2 linked regions of the Callithrix jacchus genome follow. The protein of the gene in region 1 purifies or fractionates together with the protein of each later gene. This does not show direct contact. Links are inferred from orthologs where the notes say so. Each region holds a gene or a part of one and is shown in the gene's direction. Other genes may lie near its edges.

Region 1 (5,771 bases):
CAGGAGGATTCCTTGAACTCAGGGGTTCAAGACCAGCCTTAGCAACATAAAGAGACCCCATCTCAGAAAAAAAACAAAACAAATTAGCCAGGTGTGTGGTACATGCCTTTGATCCCAGCTACTTGGGAGGATGAGGTGGCAGGATAGCTTTGCCCAGGAGGTTAAGGCTACAATGAGACATGATCACACCACTGCACTCCAGCCTGGGTGACAGAGCAAGACCTTGTCTCAACAAAAAAACACAAAAACACAAACAAAAAACCCTGCCTTTTTCCTAAGGCCTTACCAGCTAAAGCTAGTCAACCTGGCTTTGAAAAAAACAAAAAATCACCACAACAACCTATATTTGGACAAACTTTACACACAACCTACAATCCAGGAAAATAGATTGTTATTAATCTTGCCAACTGACTGCCCTCCAGCCTCTAAAGAAACTAGTTTATAGAGTACACCAGACATTAAGCTTCATTTATCTTGTTCCATAAAAATGTCTCATTAAAGATCTGTTTGCCTACATCATATACAGAGGCCTAGCTTTGAGAACTCATCTACAATGCCATCTCCTGAAATGAGACACAACAATTTAACTGGACTGGCCAAATGAGAGACTGGTTTAATGGGATCTCTTGCCAATCAATTACTAGCCTGATTTCTCTCTCCAAAGACACCAACTCAGCTTATAGTGAAACTTCTAAGGAAGTTTCAAATAAAGAAGACCAGGGACTCACACCTTAAAATATAGCATCCTATATGTTAATTATTTTAAATTAAAGGCCCTTGGATACCAGCAGATACTGGAAACAGCTTTACTCTGATAACTACCTTATCTGCCTAAAGTCCAGACCTGTCAAAGAAGACAACAATTACTTCTACGTTTTCATTAATTTAACTCATAGTACCGGAAGAAAGATTGAAACCTGTTAACACACCTGGACAGACTTTTGTTAGAAACCATCGTCTGCTCTGCAGGCTCAACAGTAGTTGTCCCAGCCCACTGAATCACCCTAAAAATCATTTACCATCCACCTTAAAATCACCCACATTTCCCCATCTCCCATATTCCTAAGAAGAAGGGCATATAACCATCTGTACCCCATTGGGTCATTCTCCTACAATTCCCTCATGCTATGCACGTTAAAATAAAATATCTTTTGAAGTGCCCTTTGTCGGTTGATTTTTTGAACAAACCCTCAGAGAGCAAGGGGAAGTTTCTCCTTGCCCCCCACGTGCTATATGGCAGAGGGCGAAGCGCTTTAAGTTAATGTTCTGAGCGGTCCCTCCACCCCTACCGAGGAAACACAGCAAGGAGCTTGGGACGGATTTTTTACGACGTATTTTTTTTTTACAATTCCTTTACAATCGCCCCAAAATTTTATCCACTTTCACATCCTCACGATCCAGCAGAGTGCCTAGAGTGTACACTCTAGAAATGTTTACTGAATTAAGAAACGGCTGACAGTGTGTGCAGCTAGTGTGGCCAGAAGAGCAGTTTCAAGTCCCAGGCACTCATTAGTTGTGTGATCTGGGGCAAGTCGCCTAAATATACCGAGATCCATTTCTTCACCAATGAAACAAGAACATTACTACTTCCCTTGTCTACCTACTGGCTCCTCAGGAGGCTTTACTTAATGAGCGGCACTGTAAAACGCTGTACACGTCTATGTAGAGTTTTCATAGGGCTGTTGATTAGTGTGAATGGTGAAATGGAAAGAAACCTGGACTCCGCAGTCAGAAGCTGTTGGGCCGCTCGCTGACTTGATGATGGTCCGGACCCTGTACTTAATAGTTTGTAAGTCCGCTACAGGCTCGGAACCTCAAGTGTCCTCAGAAAGGGAAAGCCCAGGGTTCCCAGTCAAGGTCGCGGGGTACTAAGACGCGGGACGCTCACCCAGTCAAAGTCACACGGGTTGCCGTCTTCGCGTTGGGTAGGCAGACCGTTGCAGAGCGGCGGCAGTTTCCTCACGAGTAGGAAGGCAGCAGAGAGCAGGGCCGACAGAAGGTAGTAAGGTTGGGCCAGCCATCGTGAAAGTCGCGGCACAGAATACACCAGAGCAATTAGAGGTGCCAGGATCGCCATCTTTTTGGCCGTTAGGGCCGGGGCTCATTGGCGTTGTAGGTCTGGCCCCGCCTCCCTCACCATAGAGACTGCTATTGGGCCGTATCTCAAATGTACCGCCTCTAAATCCGGATGTAGCTCTCTGGACGCTGTGGTAGGTCAGAACCCAAATAAGAATTTAACATATTATTGGTTAGTCTAGTTGTCGCTTTATCCACCTAAGTCATTTTATTGGACTGTAGCAAACGAAGCTAGCAGAAGAATCTAATAAGGTTAAATAGCACTTTCTAAACGTTCTCATAAGGCGACGGAAGTAGTTGCTGAAACAAGGTAAGCGGTGCCTGAGGCATCCAATGACAAGAGGCTCCTTGAGAAAGAGGGCGGTACCCTTAAAAGCATTGTCCAATGAAAATTACCAACGCCAGACATCTAGGCAGCGCCGAGGCGGAGGGGACGATGGAGAATTTCACGGCACTGTTCGGGGCTCAGGCTGACCCACCACCGCCCCCAACCGCACTCGGCTTCGGACCAGGAAAGCCTCCACCCCCGCCACCACCTCCTCCAGGCGGGGGTCCCGGCACGGCCCCGCCTCCCACCGCAGCCACGGCCCCTCCCGGCGCGGACAAGTCAGGAGCTGGCTGTGGCCCTTTCTACCTAATGAGGGAACTGCCAGGTGAGTACACGGCCTTGCCAAAGCCAGCCAATCAAATCTTAGAGAGGAGGTGATGGGCGTGGTTCTCAGCCGGCTAGCGGAGGTGCCAGGTAACCTAAGAAAGACAGACTCGGACTGTGGAGCCATAAGTCGGAAGCGCTGTTAGGATTCACAAGCAGAGGGATGACTTGAATTCAACCAAACGGCGGGGGAGAGGGACGGTGAATCTCCGTGACACTGGTTTATGTCTCCCTAAAAAAATGATCCAGGACTGGGCGCGGTGACTGATGCCTGTAATCCCAGCACTCTGGGAGGCGGAGGCGGGCGAATCACCTAAGGTCAGGAGTTCGAGACCAGCCTAGTCAACATGATGAAACCCCCCCTCTCTACTAAAAATACAAAAATTAGCCGGGCATGGTTGCGTATACGTTTAATCCCAGCTACTCAGGTGGCTCAGGCGGGAGAATCGCTTTGAACCCGGGAGGCGGAGGTTGCGGTGAGCCTAGATTGCTCCACTGCACTCCAGCCTGGGCGACAGAACGAGACTCCCTCTCAAAAACAAAAGATCCAGGAGATCCAGGGTTTCAGTTAGGAACTTGAGAGGCCTGATTTAATATCTTTGGGGACCCAAAGTTTTAATTTTGCTGTTGGTTTGGGGCAAGTTGCCATTATTCCTTCTAAGGTTCCGGCGTTTCCTGGTCTGTTCTAAGAAGGGATAAGAATCAAACCAAACTCTTTTCATTCAAAAATTAATTTTGTTGAGTTCCTATGTACCAAGCACTTTTGTAAATGCTTGAGATACAGTTATGAACAAGACTGACAAGATGCTTGCTTTTTTTTGGAATGTACATGTCAGTGGAGGAGGCATTGTAAACAAGATTATATCAGAGAGTGATTAATTCTAGGAGGAGAAAACATGATAAAGAATTGAAAGGGGCCAGGCGTGTTGCTCACACCTGTAATCCCAGCGCTTTGGGAGGCCCAGGCAGGAGGATCCTTTGAGTCCAGGAGTTTGAGACCAGCCTGGGCAACATGTCGAGACCCAGTCTCTACAAAACATACAAGAATAGCCAGGCACGGCAGTCCGTGCCTATAGCCCCAGCTATTGGGGAGGCTAAGGGAGGAGATTCTCTTGAACTCAGGAGGTTTCGGCTGCAGTGAACCAAGATAGTGCCACTGCACTCCAGCCTGGGCAACAGATGAGACCATCTCTCAAAAGAAAAAAATGTTGAGGGCAGAACTACTTTAGTTAGAGTGACCAGAGATGCTCTTTCCATGTAGCTAACATTTGAACTAAAATATAAGCATAGACAAAGGGCCAGCTATGGATGGATAGGAGGGAGAGATAATACTAGATACAAGTAATGAGGTCAGAAACCCTGATGTGAGAAAACGCTTAGAATATCTGAGGGACAGAAAATCAGTTGGACTCCAGTGAAGTGAACGAAAGGAAAGAGTCTTAGGAGAGAGAGACAAAAGGAAAGGTGGGAGAGTTAGGCAGAGGCCTTTATAAAGTAATAAAGGCATTTAGATGGCAAATACCAAAGGAAGCCGTTTAAAAAAAAATTTATAGAGGCAAAGTCTCACTGTGTCACCCAGGCTGGACTGCAGTGGCATAATCATAGCTCACTGTGACCTCGAATTCCTGGGCTCATGCTGTCCTCCCAGCTCAGCCTCCCAGGTAGCTAGGGCGACAGGCATGTGCCACCATGGTTGGCTAACTTAAAATTTTTCTGTAGAGATAGGGTCTTACTGTATTGTCCAAGCTGGTCTTGAACTCCTGGCCAACAGCAGTCCTCCTGCCTTGCCCTTCCAAAGTGCTGGGATTATAGACGTGAGCCACTGTGCCCAGCCAAGGAAAGCCATTTTAACACAGGAACTTGGTCAGATTTACTTATTTATAATCATTCAAGCAGCCACATGACAAATAGAAAGTGGGGAAGTCAGAGGTTACCACTCATAGTCCAGGAAAGATGATGGTTCAAACCAGGGCATAGCAGGGCATAGAGAAGTAAATGGATACAGGATGTTAGAGGTAGAGCTGATGGGGATGAAAAGTTGAATATAGGGCCAGGCGCTGTGGCTCATGCCAGTAATCCCAACACTTTGGGAGGCCGAGGTGGGAGAATATCTTGAGCCCGAAAGTTTGAGACAAGCCTGGGAAACATAATGAGACACATCTCTACAAAAAATAAATATAATTTAGCTAGGCATAGTGATGTGTGCCTGTAGTCTCAGCTACTTAGGCGGCTGAGGTGATAGAATTACTTGAGCCCAGGAAGTTGAGGCTGCAGTGAGCCGTGACTGCACCACTGCACTCCAGCCTGGATAATAGGGGAAGAAGTGAAGGAGAGAGTAAAGTGAAGGAATGATGTCTTCTTAAGTTTTCACCTTGAATAATTAGGTGTATGGGTATGGAGACTTGGAAGATGAGGAAGGAACAAGTTTGAAGAGGTGGAAATCAAGTTTTCTGGACATGTTAGGTCTCCAAGATGCCTTTCATTATCTCAAGTCTTATTTCCACATCATGACTTGAGGGAAATAATAACAAATATTGGTATGGTACTCTGAAGTTCACAACACCCTTATATGTAGTAGTATTTAATAGTTAGAATACCCCTTTGAAGTAGGCATTATTATCTATATTTTATAATTGGAAAAACAAATAGAGAAGTTGCCATCCCTTTGATTAGTCAGTGGTTGATGGCCACCAGCAGTTTCTTTTAATCTTTCTTTTGCCTTCCCTATTCTGATTGTAACTATTTATATAATAGCTATAGTCAGTCAACAGATACTGAATATCTGTTCTGGGCAAATGCTGGGTGTATGAGAAGGGTGAGAAGGAGGAAGAGATTAGTAATGCTGGTCATTGCTTTTCAAGTTTAGTTCGGAATGTAAGATTTGTGGTTTAAGGATAGTGACTATATTTCTTATCAACTCCATCTCATTATTCTGTGCTCATGCCTCACAACAGCAATTAACAATATCTTAGCCATCCATATTAAGAACTACCTCATGTTTTTCAGTGTATTGTTATCCAAAATGACAGCAAGAATAAGATGT
Region 2 (5,285 bases), on another chromosome or scaffold:
TTTTTAGCTCTTGAGGCTAAAATATTCAGTGGGGATATTGAGAATAGTACCATATTGAGAGTGAGTTAATAGCAAGGCTTGGCATACAAAAGCTAGGATTTGGATCCTTGTTATTTTTGTTTTTGCTTATTATAGCTAAGCTAAACTTGTCTCATCTGATGGTTGGTATTTTGTTTTGTTGAACAAGGGAGTGTCATGAGACTGTTAGTCCATAACAGGGCAGAAGAACTTGATGACATAGATAGTGCACTGTTTTTAATGCCCGTGGACTAACTTTGTGATCTGTTATTGGTGCTTTCGGAAAACCTATTAAACTGGGAACAGAATGTCGACCTAGTATCTGTTCATCTTTGGGCACTGGCTTGTTACCGAAGTTTAACAACTCCAGCGTGCATTTAAATTTTAATTTTAAATAAGACACAATTAAAATAAGTGGTTTAGATGAAAACTTAACAGTAGTTATCTCTGTGTTCTGTTAAATAATTTTAAATATTTAAAATAAAAACAAAGCACTCAATGATTAACAGAGGTTTAGTTTCTACTCTTTTTTTTGTCAAAATAAAAGGTGGGAGAACTTACTGCCAAATAATTGGAAAACAGCATTGTGTGGTAATGTTTCAGTAGGGTGATTTCTTCTGAAACGCTGTTTGCTAATCCTTGGGGAAATTTGGCTGTGAGCATGCAATTATTACATTTTTATCCACAGAATGGGCTAAAGTTGGCATCACATCCCTCTTGGTTGCCAGAGGCAACACACTGATATAATTTGTGCCCCTATGGCAGACATTTTTGAATAATTTTAGTGATTTTTGCTTTTTCTGATGCTACTTTGGTTGTTTCCTTTCCAGTATCCTACTGTTTGTTGCTCCCCACCATTTCTGACTTCACCCTCCCCGAGTTTTGGGGCACTTGGTGTTGGCTGAGGAGGGTAGAATAATTGAAGGTCCAGATGATTGCCAGGAGGGAAGCCTTGCCGGTGTTCCTGACACATCCTGGGGCAATGCGGGTTGGAATGCTTTCATGGTCCAGCTGCAGTGAAAGAATGTCTGTCCTCTTAAAAACTGACAAAAACAAAACAAATCTTAATTAGGCATATTTGAAATCCAACATGGAGCCTGAAAAATGGACCCTAAGAGAGCTGCTTTTGGGGGCTTTTGAATTCTTTTGCTGTAGAATTTGAGATTCCTTCAGGTTTCCCCTTCACCATTCTGTCCTGCTTTGCCCCCCTCCTTTTTTTTTTTGGTATACTAACTGATGTTTAACCAGGAGGATCACCAGGTGGACCTCATTTGAGAGTAAACATCTATTCTCCTAGGTTAAGAGTCATGGAAGGGCAAGGGTAGAGCTGCCACACGGCAGGCCACCTCACACTAGCATGCATTCTGGAGGGACGTTGGGGTGGGCATCCTTTTCTGAGCACTGCTTGTACAGGCACAAACCATTTTTAGGGAGCAGATGTTTGTTTTGTCAATACACCCTCGAGATAATCAGAAAGGGGAAGAAAAAGTGTAATTCTTAAACCCATGTGTCTAGAAACTCATGTTTTTCTTCTTTTTTAAATGCAGAGTGGACACAGATATCTACCAGATATCTTCGAGAGCAGTTGGCTAAGATTTCTGACTTTTACCACATGGCCTCCAGCTCTGGTGATGGCCCTGTCCCTGTGCCACCAGAGGTGGAGCAAGCCATGAAGCAGTGGGAATACAACGAAAAGCTAGCATTTCACATGTTCCAGGTAACCTTTCGAAGACATGCAAAATTGTGTGCCATGCTTTTAAGAAGAGAGCAAGTTTCTTATAGTTTGGTATTCTGGGGTTAAATCGTATTTTTATACCAACCAATATGTTCAAAGAAAGCAGTCTGACATTTCTCACGTTGAATTGTATTCAGGGTAACACATCTGCCCTGGGATGACAGCTCATTATACATATTGATCTCCAGCTTTCAATCATGTCAACTCTTTGAGTGCTATTAATTACTTTGTAATTGGACTATTAAATATAATCCTTCTAAACCTTTTATTTTGCAAGATTGAATATATTTATTCAAAAACATCTTTGTGCTGATACCTTCTGTGGTAGCAGACCTCCTTTAGACCCAAGTTGTTGCAGAGAAAGGTTGTCTTAATTCAACTGCAGCTGAAAATGCACAATGGGTCGCATGGCGGGTCAGGGGGATGGGGCTGGTAGGGGCGTGGAGGAATGACTGACTCTCACCCAGACAAACGGATGTACATAATGTTGACCTCAAGAGGGAGCTTGGGCTGTAAAATAGGAGAGATGAATTCAGTTCATGTCTTCTTATTAGCAGAGATTTTAGTAACTGTTGTCTTGATTAAAGAGGGAGGGGACATGTGGTTTCTAAGTTTTCCCTTTGGAACCTTTATTAAAATTTTCAGGCTCTTCTAAGAGCTCAACATAGGATAAAATAAGGTCTTTTTGAGATGTAATGTTGTTAGTTTTTAAGTCAGTAAAAACAAATCCTAGTTCCATTTAGAAGAGGGACTACTTCAGTGACTGCCCTGAGCTTTTATGACTTTTACTGAGCTCAGAATTTAGTCTGCATCTTGGAAAAAGTGTCTCTCAGCATGCTTAATATTTTTGGAAGAATTACATATTAGGAGTATTGAAAGCAGTTAGGTCCTGAAGGAATGAATATAATTGAAATAGTAATGTTAAGTTTTAAAAGTTCGTTATATTTCAATTTGCCATATTCTGAAATGTGAAACAGACCCTAATTCATACACATGAAGACAAATATATGCAGAAACAAGGGCATGGGTATATAAACAAAGCGTCTACAGGATGGACTATTGTTTATGAAGATCCTTTTTTTTTTTTTGAATCTTGAAGTTACCATCTCTTATACCTTAATGGAAAATTCTGTTTCGTCTCTTTTTAAAAAAACATTTAAATTAACTTTAAATTGACAAATAAAAACTGTACCTATATTTATTATTTTAGAACTCACTTTCCTGCTACTAAACTTTTAAATTGTGCTTTTTTGTGACTTTTTAACTGTTCTTGACTCTAAACATTGAAAAAAATTAGAAATTAGCAGGAAGTATACCTTGATGTCATGTCAGTGTGGCCTCATTGTAGACCTTGAAATACTCTGAGCTATAATTTATCAGTGTAATATTTTCCCATGACTCCTTAATAACCATTACAGTGGGACACTGGATACCTAACAGTTGCTAGGAACAAAGTCAAATTTCGTATGACCTACTAAGTTTGTTACCAGAATGACCATAAAAGTATGTGTCTTTCCCAGATTTCTGTCTCAAAGATTCTTTCATTCTGTGAATTATAATATAAAACTGTAATAGGATATTAAATCTATGTATGCATAGAATGTCATACTGTGTATGTCTATATATATGTGTATATGTATTTGAAGGCAATAGACAAAAGATGCTTGTAGTGCTTATATCAAGATTAGTGGTCTCACTAGGAGCTGTGTCACCCCTGTGGCACATTTTAGAAATTCTTGGGGGTATTATTGTTTTTTTATTGTAGTTGTGTTGAAATGGCTTATACGTGATTTTATCATAGCTCCTTTCATTTCTGGTATTAGGTCATCATATTGATGTTTAAGGTTATATTTTATAGATAGGTGATAGTATCTGACACTAATTTTAGGATAGTGAAAGAAGCTATTGTGGGGCATTGGATCTGATGGGGTTTTCAAACTTTTGTTAAAATGATGGTGTGATCAGTGCTTATCTTCTTTTTAATTGTCACTGAAATCCAAGTTTCCTTCTATGAGCATGAGTTCATACTCCCCCAAAATCTAGCCAGGAGCTTGACACACCCTGTGGGTGTGAAAGCCTCTGAAGTTTGTTGTTGTTGTTGCTGTTGTTGGAATTAATTTTTCTCAATTTTGAGCAGATTACTAAAAAACAAAAAAACTATACACAACAGATTAGTTCTTTGATTTGTTTAGAATTTGGACTGTGTTCATTGAGACTGTTTAACAGCAGCAAAAAAGTAGTAAAATTTGACTTAAGCATAAGAATGACAGTGCTTTTTCGTCTTTAACGTTATTAATGTAATTTTTCTTTGTTCATTTAAGGAAGGAATGCTAGAAAAACATGAATATTTGACATGGATCCTGGATGTTTTAGAAAAAATCAGACCAATGGATGATGATCTTCTTAAACTTTTGTTACCACTAATGCTGCAGGTATAGTACATGTCCCCTTGAGGCAGTTGGTTTTATGAGCAAGAAATGAGTCTGATAAGAATGATTAGGTAAGTGGAGGAGGAAAAGGAAAAAAAATCCTTTGAAATGGAAGGAAAAAATGTCTTTGATGCTACAAAATATGAGGTGATAAAGGCTTCTAATAAGTTTTATCCATCATTTGTATTAACCATGTTTGTAGTTTTTATCCATGTGTCCCAAGTTTTAAGTAATTTTACTCACATTGATTTCTCCCATCACTGAGCAAAGCAACCAACTTTTAAAATACTGTCTCCCTGTAATAACACAGATTTCTGTGAAAACAAAACAAATTATCCCTTTCGAAGATAAAGGATGTTCTACATTCTTTTGACAAGTCTTTGAGATTCTTGGGGAGGAAACTTTTTGTTTTGATGATTGGTCTAAGACGTGCTTATATTTGAAGTATCTGGGTGAGATTTATTTTAAAAAATTTCTTAAGTGATACATATATTTTATAATTTAAGCAAAGTGAAAGAATATCCAATGAGCAGCAGTTCTCCCTTTCACTCTCATACCCTCCCCACAGACTACACCACAGGGTCCTGTGTCTCTCCCTTGAAATAGTCTGTACCTGCACTGTCCATTACAATGGCCACTAGCCAGATGTGGCTATTGAGCTCTTGAAATGTGACCAGTCCAAATTGATGTGTGCTCTAAGTGTAAAATGCACACCAGATTTCAGACTTAGTATGAGAAAGTGTATAACAGTTGTACTTTTTATGTTGATTACTGGTTGAAATGATAACATTTTGGATATATTGGGCTAAATAAAATACATTAATCTTCTACTTTTTGCCTGTTTCTTATTTTTTTCATGGCCCCTAGAAACTTTAAAATTACACCTGTGGCTCACATTCTATTTCTATTGGACAGCACTTGCTTTATATCTTTGAAGTTTTTTTTCTTTTTTAAATGAAAGAAAGTCTATGTTAAAATAGTTATTTAACCAAGACGCATAAGACATGACTGAAGTCTGGTGTCCTTCTACTTCTCAGTATTCAGATGAGTTTGTTCAGTCGGCCTACCTGTCTCGTCGTCTTGCCTACTTTTGTGCCCGGCGT

The links.
Region 2: the proteins of MED19 (region 1) and MED12L purify together in Homo sapiens (affinity purification with mass spectrometry; 3 studies listed by BioGRID and IntAct, counting the BioPlex papers as one, with this or other methods). This does not show direct contact. The link is inferred for Callithrix jacchus from reciprocal best matches to the Homo sapiens genes MED19 and MED12L.

Annotation. Positions count from the first base shown.
Region 1 is NC_133511.1:115,289,287-115,295,057, reverse strand, and holds the start of MED19 (mediator of RNA polymerase II transcription subunit 19), read left to right. Parts: upstream 1-2,479; 5' UTR 2,480-2,512; coding exon 2,513-2,729; intron 2,730-5,771. Other genes in the region: TMX2 (thioredoxin-related transmembrane protein 2), read right to left, coding at 1,889-2,077. UniProt on the Homo sapiens protein: Component of the Mediator complex, a coactivator involved in the regulated transcription of nearly all RNA polymerase II-dependent genes.
Region 2 is NC_133518.1:34,088,652-34,093,936, reverse strand, and holds part of MED12L (mediator of RNA polymerase II transcription subunit 12-like protein), read left to right. Parts: intron 1-1,565; coding exon 1,566-1,735; intron 1,736-4,074; coding exon 4,075-4,185; intron 4,186-5,219; coding exon 5,220-5,285. UniProt on the Homo sapiens protein: May be a component of the Mediator complex, a coactivator involved in the regulated transcription of nearly all RNA polymerase II-dependent genes.